2 linked regions of the Ovis aries genome follow. The protein of the gene in region 2 interacts with the protein of the main gene of each other region in a pairwise test. Links are inferred from orthologs where the notes say so. Each region holds a gene or a part of one and is shown on either strand. Other genes may lie near its edges.

The links. The genes of interacting proteins can lie anywhere in the genome.
Region 1: the proteins of NUTM1 (region 2) and LMO2 interact in binary tests that used the Homo sapiens proteins (3 or more experiments, as listed by UniProt). The two-hybrid records come from large-scale screens. The link is inferred for Ovis aries from reciprocal best matches to the Homo sapiens genes NUTM1 and LMO2.

The regions. Positions count from the first base shown.
Region 1 is NC_056068.1:63,295,339-63,302,496, forward strand, and holds the start of LMO2 (rhombotin-2), read right to left. Parts: upstream 4,124-7,158; 5' UTR 3,982-4,123; coding exon 3,975-3,981; intron 3,852-3,974; coding exon 3,620-3,851; intron 1-3,619. UniProt on the Homo sapiens protein: Acts with TAL1/SCL to regulate red blood cell development. Also acts with LDB1 to maintain erythroid precursors in an immature state.
Region 2 is NC_056060.1:26,483,623-26,490,835, reverse strand, and holds the start of NUTM1 (NUT family member 1), read left to right. Parts: upstream 1-3,011; 5' UTR 3,012-3,549; intron 3,550-3,633; 5' UTR 3,634-3,695; intron 3,696-4,598; 5' UTR 4,599-4,640; coding exon 4,641-4,779; intron 4,780-6,395; coding exon 6,396-7,104; intron 7,105-7,213. Other genes in the region: NOP10 (H/ACA ribonucleoprotein complex subunit 3), read right to left, coding at 2,157-2,297, 2,871-2,924. UniProt on the Homo sapiens protein: Plays a role in the regulation of proliferation. Regulates TERT expression by modulating SP1 binding to TERT promoter binding sites.

The DNA.
Region 1 (7,158 bases), on a different chromosome or scaffold from region 2:
CAACCCCAGAGGAGGCACCAGGACTCTAAGAGCTGCTTGTGGCCAGAACAGTGACTAACTAGCGGATTAAACATCTTCAAATTCCCTTTTGAATCTCTGCGCCACCTGGACTCCATCCCTTTCCAACTGCACGAATGTAGAGGTGAGGAAGAAAGGGTCCCCAAATTATTTTAGGTTGCTTTCTCTTTCCCAAATAAAAATACCATCAAGATATAATAGAAATTCTCATTATTATTATTTTTAACAGAAACTCCACATCCTATCCTTCTTACGGAATGAGTCCTTGAGGAAAAAATCTCAGGTGTTGATTAAAGCCACTGTTATATTTATAAAGATCAAACAGAACTTTTTGCACATGAACACTTTTACAGCAGCAAATCTGATTCGCATGAAGTTGATTTAGGAAAGAGAATGGGGAGAGAGTGTGGAAGGCAATTAAACACTGAAATCTCCTCCAGGCAATTGTTAAGAGTGAGCCTGTGACATGTGTTCTTTCATTACAAAATCATATAGTGTCCCCAGTTCACTTAACTGGAATCTGAATCCTTTTGTTTTACATTTTAAAAGAAATAACTCTACTTGCCAGAAGAAGATAAAAAAATAATAGGGTGCGAGAAATGATTCCTGCACCAGATGGGACATGGGAAAAACTGAGTACCTGTTGATCTGTAGCAATTAACAAATGCTCTCTTGAACTTCACTCAAACACAAATCTATTTATCAAAAATCTGTTATGTTTGGAAAAATGGACTTGCTTCTAACTGTGAAACTCCCAAAGGGAATTTCCCCCTTGGTACCTTGAGGATATAAATCTGTGTCTCCTATTTCCAGCTGATGCTGGCTTACTTGGTGACCTTGCATCCTGACTGGCCTGTGCCCACAGCATTTAAGGCCCTTTATACTTAGGAAGGATGAGGCTCAGGGAATCAGTGTTGATAACACACTCTGACACCTTCAGAGAACTGTCTTTAAAGTGCACGCTTCCCTGTGAATATTCAAGCATATTGAAACCGAGCCCACACTTTGCAGAATGGGTATGAGGGTCCTTTGTGAGATGATCTCCTTTTAGCCCAGGGAACTGTAAAACCCAAACTAATTATCTCCTAAAAACTCCACACTTTAAATAGAGTTTTAAACATCCACTGAAGCCTGACTTGTCTTTGTTTCCACAGGTTATGTATAAGGACTTCCACCCTCCCTCCTGAAAAAATAAAACACCCAGCATTTCCCTGTGCCTCAGAATCACTTCTCTTCCCTTTTCACAGCCCGTGGCCTTATTTAGGCTTTCAGAAACATTCATGGAACCTCAACACCACTGGATGCCCTGACGCAGATCCTGCCAACCAACTGTGAAAGAAGAGAATTTGCACTTAGCTGGTGCAAAACTGCCTGGAATTGAAATGAACTGCTCCTGTTATTCACAGGGAGGCAGGAGGGGCCACCGACGGCACAGTAGAGGAAATCTGTGTGTGTGTGAATTCTGGCTGTCTTTCTGTCTAAATGTTTCATTTGCATAGGCCTAGGCAAGTTTCTGGGTGTAATTTGGAGTTGCTGATCAGACTGACCTCAGTCACACTGACCCAAGTATGTACTCACTGAAGCATCTGGTAGGGTAGTGGTCCACAGGAGGAAATGTTAAGCCAAAAAGCTACTGTCTGTGATGGCCTAATATGAGATAGGAAAGGACTGAATAAGATATTGGCTCTATCTTTCTATAATTAAAGATAATATCACATTATCTTTGGTGGAGGTTCCAAGCCAATAACTGTGGGACTCACCCTCTAATTAATATTTTACATTCTCCTAGAGCCTATCTGAACATTACACCTCAATACACTTTGGCCTGGATTTCTGGGATAATTTCTCAACAGTTTCCAAGAAAGATATGGGGGAAAAATGTTCTGCAATAATTTCTCAGCTAGCTGGTCCATCTCCAATTAAAGCCTATCTTCACTGGGCAAATAGTGAAGCAAAGGATAGAGAAGAGCACCCTACTGAGCATCCTTCCGCAGATGCCTGCTGTGTTATGAGGTGAACATGTTTCAATTTTCCAGTCTCTTTGTGAAAAAGCACAAACTTTGAAAGGAGCAACCTTCCTTCAGGGAACTGAAACCTCCAGATTTATCTTCTAATAAAAAGATTAGTGACTAAGTTCTATTGATCGAAAAGGCATTAGGCACCTTTCAAAGGTAATTCATCCAATGCACTCTCTTATTGTATTACTATCATCTTGCCCAGGCTCTGAAAACTCAGGGCTAAGTTATCATTCTAGGTTTGTAAAAAAAAAAAAAAAAAAAAAGTGAGCAAAGCACCCTTCCCAGAGTTTTCCTAAACAAATACTTAAAAAAAAAAAAAAAAAGCAATGTTATTTTTTTCCCTGAGAATTTAAGGAAGCTGGGTTTTTGTTAGAACAAACCTGACTCCTTGTAGATCTGGCTTCTGAACCTTCAAGATTGAATAGTGATGTTTATATTCTCACTGGATCATGGTTACTTCCTGTGTTTTATGAGAACACGCTGAGCTTTTATGCTGGTAAAACCCAGGTATATAAACACCATAGGAGGCTGAAATTGGGAGGAGGAGGTATTTCAATCAGGAAAGCACAATTCTTTTAAAGCAGGAAAAGAAAACAAAACAAAACAAATGCCTCTTAAAAGCACAAATGGACAAGTCATTAACCAGCTCCTTTGGTCTGTGTAACAAATCCCTTCAAAGGATTTAGATGGGGACTTCAAAGGAATAAAAATTCTCAAAACCAGACAGCTAATGAATCTTAAAAGGGCATTTGCGCTGACGGGAAAATGACATCTTAAACATCCCTCTCTCCCCATGTTAACACTGAGCAATGGGCTCAGAAAACAAATGCGGTTCATTTAGAGCTCTGTTTCCCAGACCCTAAACCCTTTGAGATTGTGACAAAAGCCGTTTAAGACTCCGCTCTCCGGAAAAATTCACCTATATCCAAAATGGTGCACTAACTTTGGAGGTTCAAAGGTACCCATCGGTGGACTCCGAGGGGAGAGGCGTGTCCGCGTATCCAGACTAACTCCCGTGTTGCTCGGCTGCTCTAAAGTCTCTGGAGGCCTGGGTGAGCTCCGAGGTGAACTCTCGCACCTCCTCACCCGTGGGTCCCCGGCGCCGTGGGCAACCGCTCCACCTGCGGACCCGGAAGGGGACCGTCGGGGACCCGGGGTGGGGGGCTCCACTTGTAGTGTCCCCCTTTCCAGGACCAAACGGACAAAGAGAAGGAACGAGAGGGGAAAAGGGAGCAGAATCGAGTCCTGAAGGCTCTCGGGACTGCACCGGCGCGCCTCTGACCTCCCCTTGTGCATGCTCCTGTGCAAACTTTCTGGCCCGAAGTGGCTTTAGGGAGCGTCCCAGGGAGCCGCGAGGGGCCCGCTGAGGCGCCGGGCCGACCGCATTCCTGCCGCCCGCCACCAGCCCCTCTCCCAGTGTCCCCGGGGTCACCCAAGAGGATGCGGGAGCCCCGCGCACGGCAGAGGGAACCAAGGGCACGCCGCGGGCGCGCACCTGGAGCCTTCCCGCCGGCCGCCCGCCCCACCCCGCCGCTCCGGGTCGCGAGGCCGTGGACCCTCGGTGGCAGGGGCGTCACACTTACTCAGATGGGTCCAGGCTCTTCCTCTCGATGGCCGAGGACATTGGGGAGGGAGGTGGCGTGCCAGGCGGCGGGGGCGCTCCCTTTGTGGCGCGGGGCTGGCCGGCTGCCGGGGCTCGGACCCCCTCGGGTGCTCGGGCGCCGCCGCCGCCGCCGCCGCTCCTGCGCCTCTTCTTGCTCCGGCGCTCTGGCGGCGAGCTCGCCCCTCCGCGCTCAAGGACAGTCACCGCGCTCCCTTCAAACGCCAAAGAGAGAGAGCGAATCACCGGGCTGCCGGCGCGCCGCGGCCGAGGAGGGGACCGGGGCGCGCAGCCTGGCCCCGGGCGGCTGCAGCTGCTACTGCTGCTCAGGACTTAACCTTCCATCCCGGTCCCGCCGCCACTGCCGCCGCCGCCGCCGCCGCCGCCGCCGGGTCTGGCTCGGCTCGCGCGCTGTCGCCGGCTCCGCGCCGCCCGCGGGGATGGTGCGCGCCCGCCCGGCCGCCCCGCGCCCCTCGCACCTTCAGCCGGGGTCGCGGCGCGCAGCTCGCCGCCGAGGGCAGGGAGGGGGCGGCGGCCTGGGGGCGGGGAGGGGACCGCGCCTCTCTCCCCCGGCTCCCTCCTCTCTCGGGAAGGTCTATTTTCGCTCAGCTTCCCTCTGTCTCTGGTTTCATTTCCTTTTTCCTGATCACGATTCAAATACAATAGAAGGAAATCACATTTAAAGAGACAGCTGCCCGGTCCCCCCCGCCACCACCATCTTTTTTCTTCCCTTTTTTTTTAAACGGGGCTCCTGGGGATTAGCGATACAAACAGCGGCAGCCGCAGCAAGACTGAGTTGGCTTCTTAAAGGGGCCAGCGTCGGGGACAAGGGAGACTCGCTCAGAGACCACCTCTCCTTGGAGAGGCGGCTGGGTTGCCTGTGAAGCATTCTTTAGGGCTTTCCCTCTTCGGCGTTCCCCTTTTGGTTAACTAAGATTGAAAGTGACCAGCGGGCCGCTCAAGGAAGAAAGAAAAAACGAAAATGTGAAATAAACACATACAGAGATGTACGCGTTCCAAGTGGCTTTCGCGCGCGTCCGGGGTTGGAGGTCCCAGGTCCGCGGCCAGGGAACGCGGAGATGCCCCCAAGACAGCGCGGCTCTGCTGGCTGAGGACTTGTGACTGCGTCCGCGCTCCAAAAAGACGACGGGAGCTGTGCGAGCAGGGACCGCACGGGCTGGGTACGCCTCAGCAGCACCAGGGGCAGCTAATCCCGAGGGAGGGTGTTTGGGAGGGACCAAGCTGGTCTGAGTCTCCTCTCCATCTGCCGGCGGCAGAATTCCCTCCCTCAGCATCTTTAAAAATCGGACCCCTACAGTTAAACTGGCCCCGTAAAGGGCCAATAGCACTCTTCACAGAGAAAAGTGCCTCTCCAATGATGGAGAGCAATGCTTGGAGACTATTTTGCCCTGGGTCAGGAAAAGAGAGAGAACGCAGACTTGTTTGGTTCAGGCTTCCCCATCTAATCTCAAGGGCAAACTCCAAGAAGAGAGGCGAATGTAGAACGGGAGAGGAGGAAGCTAAAAGTCTTCTCTTCAATAGAGCAAAGCTTTAGGTCCCTTGGGCCTCATCAGAGATCCCTGAAAATAATTGCATTCAGAAATTATTACTAAAGGCCTACTTGAGCGTGCCACAAGTCTTGTAAAGAAGAAACTACCAGTATTCTCAGGATCCATGGTTTTATAGGAGCAGTCTAGATCATGGTCATGGACACTGTATTCCCTTTTTAAAGATGGCACTGAAGGGTCTGGATGAAATCACCCTGGAAGGTGAAGTCAGAAGTACATCCCTGTAGGCTTCGTTTTCCTTGTTTAAAGCTGATTCTAACTTCTTACATGCATACCTAGAATTTACCATTGTCTGCATGCTCTTGTCCTTTTCTTATGTCCATGTCCAAAGCTTAGGTCCCTATGGGTATAATGAAAATCTCTTCCTAATTCCTCCACTGTCTCCTGTGTGTGTGTGTGTGTGTGTGTGTGTGTGTGTGTGTGTGTGTGTGTGTGTGAAAGGAAGTCTTAAGAGCAGATTTGGGTCCAACTCAAGCCTTTCAATCTAAAAAGAACTTCTGCTCAGGTCCCTGTTTTTAATTAAAAAAGGAAAAATGTCTAGTATTTTTAAGTCAGTCTAAATTATGTGATAAACATATAACCCACCACTCTACAATCAAAAATGAAAATAAACAAATAGGCTTTGATGAGCAATTCACCTGCTTACAACCAATCAGTGTGGTGGTGAAACGCTCAGACTTCGGCATTGGACTGCCTGCATTTGATTTAGGCTCTTACTTATCAGCTAGTGGAGCCTATCTAGGAAAGTCACTTAATCTGAAGAGGCAGTATTGGGTAGTGGCTGTGGAGTCAGGCTGCCTTCATAACAACCCACGCTTTCCTACCTGTGAATCTAGTGGAAGAGCAGGAATCTATAAACTCCCAGGATCCTTATCTGTCAGTAGGGGTATGAGAGCCTGTTGCATCAACTGTTGTAAGGATTAAAAGAGTAAACGCATGCAGTGTGGCCCGTAGACCTGTAATGAACTGAGGATAATAATGGATATGAGATTACATGCCTGCAAAGCATTTGGTGTATATTAAGCACTCATAAATGGTCATTTCTGTGTTGTAGAAAAAAATCGCTGGGAGAATTTAGAGAGTTTGAAATTAAATTCACAGGTGAAATGGAGGTTAAAAATAAGAACTTCCCAATTTCCCACCTAGATTTGAAAACCTGTCCCATTTTTAAAAAGCAAACAGAATGGTGTCCTTTCACTTCACCTCCTTGTGCTAGTATACAAAACATACATGCATTTTCCAGTTCACTATCTTGATGACTGCGTGATGTGTTTTCATCTGCTTGCTTTTATTAAATCTGATAAGTTGCTTCCTTCCTTGCTATATAGTTTTGCATGGAGCCTAAGTTAGTTGTTAAATTAAATATATCCTTGGGTTTCAGGAGGTAACCTCCAAACGGCCAACTTTGGGACCTGAAGTTTCCTTTTAATAATATGCTTCTGTTTTGACCCGAATGTGTAAAGAAAGAGTGATTACTGATGACTTTGGGTCAGTTTCTTATCTTTCACTACTCTTTGGGGAGAACTTCCTTAGAGAAAGTGAATATTTGAAATGGTATCTTAAGATTTCAATTTCACACACAGTGGTTGTAAGAAATAACTGCCTGCCGGTGGGATTTCATTTCTATTCAACGGGCAATTAAATTGCTCAAATTTAAGTTTAACATTTAGAATCGAGTCTCAAAATGTGTTTTCATTATGAATAATTTTAAAGCAATCATGACCTTATTGTATCCTTCCATAGCAACCTTATGCTTTATGTAGAAGAACGACTCAGTAACTAGGAGGCAATTTGAACATGTAAAATGGTTCTTGAGAGTTGAGGAAATCTCGACTTGATCCCTCCCCAGTGGGTTTGCAATTTAATTCCTTTTACCCACCCTTGACTGCTTGCAAATCTTACATACCTTAAAATTTAGAAAATTTCCAAGTTTTCCTTCCTGACTATGAATGTC
Region 2 (7,213 bases):
AGTTCCCTGTACTATATGTAGGGCCTTGTTTATCAAAAGTCATTTAAAGTCAACAACCTGGGGCCTGACTTTGCCTGGTCCTTGCTCAGCACAAGTAGAAATGTTTAACATCATCCTTAATAACAGATGAGAACAGTATTGAAGACCTGAGCCAGGAAATCTTTTATTACATGACACAAAGTCCACAGTCTGGTTTAAAAGCTACAGGTAACAAAATGTAAAGTAGATTCCTATTTAAAATGTAAATCTCCTCAAAGCTTGATTCTTTATAAAGCCTGTGATACTGATTCGGGCTTACAGTTTTCTTGCAGAAGCAAGAAATTTAGCTCCCTGATCAGTTTTCTTTTTAGGCAGGCTTGCTGTTCAGTCTTACAGACATTCCCCTTACTAAAAAAAAAAAAAAAAAAAGAAAAAAAATTCCTAGATTTCTACAACATTGAATTTTGTTTCATTCCACAGTGTATTTTCATTCACTTTATACTAAAGAGTTTCCCATTTCTGAGAACATCTCAGATACCTAGGAGATCTCTAAAGAAAAAAATCTTCGCTATATACACACCAATTTGAATTTTCCTTAGTCTACACAGTAGGTGGTATCAAAAATGCTAATCCTTTTTTGGGGGGTCAGTGTAGCTTTTAAAGACAGAGTCACAGTCTGCATTAAAAACAAAAAGATAGGATTTGCTTATTTTTTTAGCCACCCCATGCAGCAGCTTGCCACCCCAGGGACAGCGGAAGCTGGGAGTCCTAACCACCAAGAATTCCCCTGAAGTTAGTTCTTTAAATACTTCCTTAGCAGAACCTTTTTCCCTAGTCATTTGCAGAATTTCTAGCCTTTCTTCAAACATTAACCTCTAATAGGACAGGACAAGCTTTTACAATCTCTTTAATACTAAGAGCCATAAGTGAAGAGGCTAAGAAACCAAAAATTGCTTGACAGAAAATAAGTATCCCATCTCACCATTCTCATAAGTAATAGAACTGGAAATCATGTCTTTTATTAACTACGTATGACCCAAGTCTTTAGATTTTTCTTTTTTCTCTCAACAGTCAACTATTCTTTTCTGCTGGGACAGTCAGACATCAGCATCAGTGAGAAACATATTTACCCCTTTCCAGGGCCAGTCTTGATAAATCAAATTTGGGCTGATGTACGTTACAGTGGCACTAGGCAAACATTCAATTCAATGTCAAAAGCCACAAATAAGAAGTTCAGGAAGTACCCAACTGACTTAAGGAGAGGAAGGAGCAATCATTTCTTGAATGCCTGTATTTTGCCTCATCATCCCTATGCTATGAAGAAATTGGATTACAAATTTATGGTTGCCCCATGATAGAAGCTCATGGCCTAAGAAATCTTCCAGGATTAAAAGAAAACCCTCCAAGATATTTCCAGAGGAGCAGTAAAAATGCATAAAGACATTCCTATTCACAATGGTTGGATGAATTAAGATCTATCACTGAACTCTATCAATTTTAGAGGTGGAAGAGTACTTAGGAATGATGAGAAAAACGGAACTAAACAGGTTGACTTTCTCAGAGTTATAGAGGGGTGAATACTCATTTTCTGGCTTCCAATTCAACATCTTCCTCCTCCCATATAGCTGCTATTATTTTTCAAGCAACTCTTCCATTTTGAGTGAAATTTCATTTCAAGGGACAAAAAATTACTTAACTGACAACATGGGTATTTCTTACTTAATGCTAACAGTTGCACAAGTCTTTCTCAAGCTTTCTTCCCCTACCCTAGCACCCTGCTATGACTCACAGCACAGCACGACTGCTACAGCAGTCGCCTAAGTTTCTCTTCCAAGTGGTCTTGTATCCCTGGGGTACTCTTCCCTCTCGTTTCCCTCGTTTTTTTTTTTTTTTTTAAACCACTCCTTTCTTCCCACAACATACAAAATAACAGCTCTTTGAAATCATTTTAATAACCTGGCAGTGATTCAAAGTACGAAAATATTCAGATATCTCCCTTGGACGGGGATGCTACCATGACTGCTTCACAACAAGCATGATCGAAGGCAAAGATGAGACCGGACTCGAGGGGCAAGGGTCGGAGCAAGCTTCCAGGCTCACAGACTGAAGAGCCTGGCTGCAGAAAGTCTCTTGGGTGCTGGCAGGCAGCAGAAGACACATGAAATGTTAAGACATCCTCAGAGGACGGGGCGCGGCTGCTGGGTCATGAGCACCTTGAAGCGTTTCTTGATGGTGATTCGGTGTCGAGAGTATTTGTCGTCTGGGGAGAATCGAGCAGGGTGGGCCGAGCACGTCTGTTGTCCCATAGGATCAAGCTTCTGCTCGAGGAGGAAAGAACATAATCTCAGCACTGGAATGGTGGGAAAACGCAATCCCTGGCCTCAAAAGGGAGATGGAGGCTGGGATGGGGAGTTCAGTTCAGTCGCTCAGTCGTGTCCGACTTTTTGCGACCCCATGAACCGCAGTACGCCAGGCCTCCCTGTCCATCACCAACTGCCGGAGTTTACCCAAACCCATGTCCATGGAGTCGGTGATGAACCATCTCATCCTGTCTTCCCCTTCTCCTCCCGCCCTCAATCTTTCCCAGCATCAGGCTCTTTTCAAATGAGTCAGCTCTTCGCATCAGGTGGCCAACGCATTGGAGTTTGAGCTTCAACATCAGGGGCCGCGCAAAAACGGCAAACATGAAAACAGGAGACGCGACGGTAAGATCTAGAAGCCACGCATTTCTGCTTCCATTAATTAATACCACGCGCGGCTTCTGGAGTTTCTAGTCCCGCCCCCTCCCCCGCCCCCGCCCAAGCAGCTAGGCAACTCACTGTCTTCTCCCGACCGCTCCTTCCAATGACATGCATCGCTAAGCTGACATCCAGCCCGTTTACCCTTCTCACCTTCAGCGTGTAGACTCGCTCTCCTTGCTCGTTGAGGTAATACTGGAGAAACATGATCACACTAAAGCAGGACGTTCCAATTCTGTCCGCAGCTGCCTCTAACTGAAGGCCTCACGTGTTGGTCAATTTCCTTCCTGTACAGCCGGAAGTCTCGCTCTGAAAGCACGCCGGGAATTGTAGTCCAGTTTATCTAGACTTTTCTCCAGCCGGACAGAAGGAGGCGCACTAGCTCAGAACGTGACCAGTTGCAACCCAGTTGCAATCTTGTAGGAGTTGTACGACACGTGCAGTGTGCCCACTGTGGGCCTGGTACTGCTAGGGAGAGAGGGGAGTAGGGATGGATATAGATTAAACATAACTGAATACTATCCTGTTTTTATTTCAAGATGCACACCCATTTCAGAGGCAATGAGTTTCTAGTACCTGCAGAACTAAAGGCTCCAGGATCCAGAGCCTCCTTTACCTTAGGAAAGAAAGAAGATTTTCTTCCTTCCCCTATTTTACATCCGGTTCTCTCGCCCTGTTTCAAACATTGGCGGTAAAAATGCACGATGGGTATTCCATATTCTGCACAGCGAAAAGAGCGTGAAGTTATTTTACGAAACCGGTGAAGCATATTTTAGTGGTCGACCCAAGATTCAAACTCAGGTCTCTGCCACAAATTCAACTCTCTGTAGTGGTGAGTAGCTAATAATAGCGTGATAAGATGCGCCTCTTAGAGGTATGGCGAATTTTTAAAAGAACGTACAAATTCTCTTTATAGGATTCTGGTTTAAAGAAATGAAAATTGGAACCCAGATATCATTAACCGAGGTGACCATTGCGGTATGATTTATAATGGCGAAAAACGTTGGAAGATATATGCAGCTTTATAACCAGAAAAACCTTAAAGTTGGTTTTTTTTTTTTTAAGTATAGTTTGTGTTTGCTTGTAGTTGTATAAAATATCTCAGTGAGGATCCAGAATAAATCTGATTTCCTCCGGCATAAAGAGCTCAACTTGGTTCCAGAAGGAGTAGGACGGGGGGTGGACTTGCTGTGTACTCCATTTTAAATAGTCTGACTTTTGAACAGTCCTGATGTACTACCCATTTTAAAAATTAAAATTATTTAACAAAATTTAAAACCACAAAAATAATTTAACAAACAAACAAAAAAGACTTTTGGGTCTTGGAATTTTACTCTGAGTGGCAGTTTTTGATTAAGTGGGAAGCTTTTCAGCCCAGGGTATGGCTGAGCTGTTTGTGGACTGCAGAGGTGATGGTAATAGTCTATTTGGGAACTGCAAAACAGCTTTCTAAGGAAATGATATACATACAGCAAATCAGCACCCTTGATATTGTGAGACAACCCTAATTTGAAACATTCTGTTCACTTGATCCGTAAATATATAGACTATGTGCTTTGATTTTGGTTTAGAAAATACAGCAAACATTGAATTGTCAAGAGTTTGCCACAGTCTGCTGTTAATAGGAAGTCAGGTACAAAACTGGGTAGAATTGAAAGGCACAAAACTAGATATATTGGTGAAGAAGTGTATAGGGAACCAAGATGTGAAACTACGTGGTTGGGAATCTGAGAAATAATTGGCAAGTTGTCCTGAAGAGATACACAATTGTGTCGCCATACTCTGGTTTGGAGGGCATTCCTGGTTACTGCCTACATACCAGAGTCCTTTGTGGAATATCTCCCTAACTTCCCATTTCCCCCTCCCTTCCCCCCACTGTAGAATGATGCCTTGAGTTCTAGATTCTAGTTCTGTTTTGATCTGATGTTTACCCTCCCTTCCTTGGATCCCTGTGTTTCGACTGGAGTTTACTCTCTGGGTCCTGGACCTGCCTGTCTCATTCTGGAGGCTTCCAGACAGCCACAGTTAGTGCCCAAACCTGAGACGATGTCTTCAGATGGAGGTGAGCCTGCCGGTAGGGGAGGGTCCTCTGCCACCAGCTCCCTCTTTAGCGATTCAAAACTTGACACTTTACCTGGGGACGAGCTCTCAGGGCTGACCTAGAGGGATGTGAGAACACCAGACACCACCAGAGGCATCACACTGGGGGAGGAGATGGTGCTGTTAATACTAGGGGTTGGGGAAGGAAGGGGGCCTCCTAGGTGGCAGATCAGAGCACCTCTGAGGAAAGTGCTGAGTAGAGAGAAGGGATGGTAGTTAGCAACTTGCTTCTCTGGAAGAGGGTGACCTTCAGCATGTGTTTGTGTGGCAGGGGCAGGGATGTGTGTGGAATGGGGGACACAGGGGGGTTCCAGTGGAAGGCCCAAGTTCTGGTGTCTTCTTTAGGCAATTGGAGGCTGCTCTAGAATTTGCCCTGAGAGAACTGATCTAGGGCCGCTCTCAATTTTACTGGGTGTAGGGAGTGGAAGCCTTGTCTGGAAAACTGTTCAGTGGGGCCATCTGTTGCCAAGTCCGTCGAGAACTGTCCTCCTAGAAGCTAGATGAGGAGGTGCAGTAAGTGCCTCTGCTCAGAGCCTCCTGTCTCCTTCCAGCCCCAGCGAGGGCTTCTCTTTTCGTGCAGGGAGCAGTTTTCCTTGCTTTCCCAGGGTCAGGGGAGGTGGGTCACTCTAGCAGAGATGAGGACTGGGGCTTCCCTGAGACGCTCTGACTTTCTGCCTTTTGCGCAACTCAGGCCTCAGACCCATTTCACTGTGTTCCGTTCTTCAGGGAGTATTCCTGGTCCTCTGCTCTGTGCCTGAGGTGAAGAGTCTGCTCGTATTCCCTGTCTCCTTCAGTGGTCAGGAAGCAGCAGAAGCTGAACGTTGTTAATTTGCCAGCAGAATAATCTAAGAGGGGGAGGAGAGCAACCTGAAATTAGGCAGATGATCTGTTATTATTGAAAGTCCTAGGAGACACATGTCCTGATTAAGTACACGTTTTAATATATTTATCCTTGGTCTCTTTGACTAGAGTCCACATAGCCCCTGAACTGTGTCTCAGACTTCATGGTCAGGGCCTTTCAAAAGTGGACCCTAAATTTCTGGCATTAGGAGTTTCAAGCAGAAGGATCACAGATAAACATTATAGTATGTCTAGCATCTACTTGAAGCTCTGGAAACCTCCCTCCCCACACCGCCCTCCCTTTACCCACTTCCTGGCTCTTACCTCTAGTCATTCCTGGCTGCTAAGTAACAAAATTTCTGGGAACAAAACCTCTAACCCACACATCCCCTCCTGGGAAGAGTGCTTCTGTGAGTGGTGGCAGGGACCACAGAGAAGCTGGGAGCAGGGTCCAGGTGGCTTGAACGTGTTTGGAATGTACCTGTATGCTGGGTGGCATGTATTATGGAGTATGAGCTCGTGGGTCCAAAGTCATTGCAACTTCCCTAGTGCAGTCATTCTCAACAGGGAGTAAGGGACATCAGAAACACTTGGGGGACATTTGCAAATATACGTGTTCCCACTCACTCACTCACTGAGAATCAGTGCTCTGCTTCTTCAGGGACTAGAGTTGAACTCAGATGACCTAGCTCTTGGTCTCTTTTTCTGCTACTGTATCCCCTCTTTTTGTCTCTACAGCATCTCCATTGCCAGGATCGGACATGGCCATGAATCCTGGCACCGCCCTGTCTCCTTTCACTGCACTTACCTTCCCCCAACCTGCTCCTGGCCCACCAGACCCACCACCATGGGAGCCGCCCTCGCAGCCCCCTGTGCCTTCAGCATTCTCTCCAGGCAACCCTCTGGTCCTCTCTGCTTTCCCCAGCTCGTTGTTGGTGACCGGGGATGGAGGCCCTGGCCCCAGTGGAGCCGGAGCTGGCAAAGTCATTGTCAAAGTCAAGACAGAAGCGGGGTCAGCTGAGCCCTCTCAGACTCAGAACTTTATCCTAACTCAGACCGCCCTCAGTTGGATTGCCTCTGGCGCTCCCTGCGGGGGTCCTGAGAGTCCTGCCCCCGGGCTCCTGACAGCCTCTAATGTGAAGACCCTTCTGCCCACTAAGGCTGCTGGGCTGAACCAGGAGGGTGTCCCGTGCCTTCCTGCTCAGGCTCCACCACCAGCTGCCCAACTGGCCCCCATCGTACCCCCAGAAAAGGCTTGGCCAGGGCCGCAAGGGACAACCGGGGAAGGAGGTCCTACAGCCACCCGACCCAAGCCCTCATTGGGTGACCTCTTCTATACCTCCAAGGGTGTTTATGAGAACTTCCGGCGCTGGCAGCGCTACAAAGCCTTGGCACGAAAGCACTTATCCCAGAGTCCTGATGCAGAGGCCCTTTCCTGCTTTCTTATGTAAGTGGGGAGACCGAAGATTCATTATCCTAGAGGCTTTTATTTTTTTTTATTTTTTTATTTTTTTCATTATCCCAGAGGCTTTTAAATGAGGAGGGTTTGGGGAAGG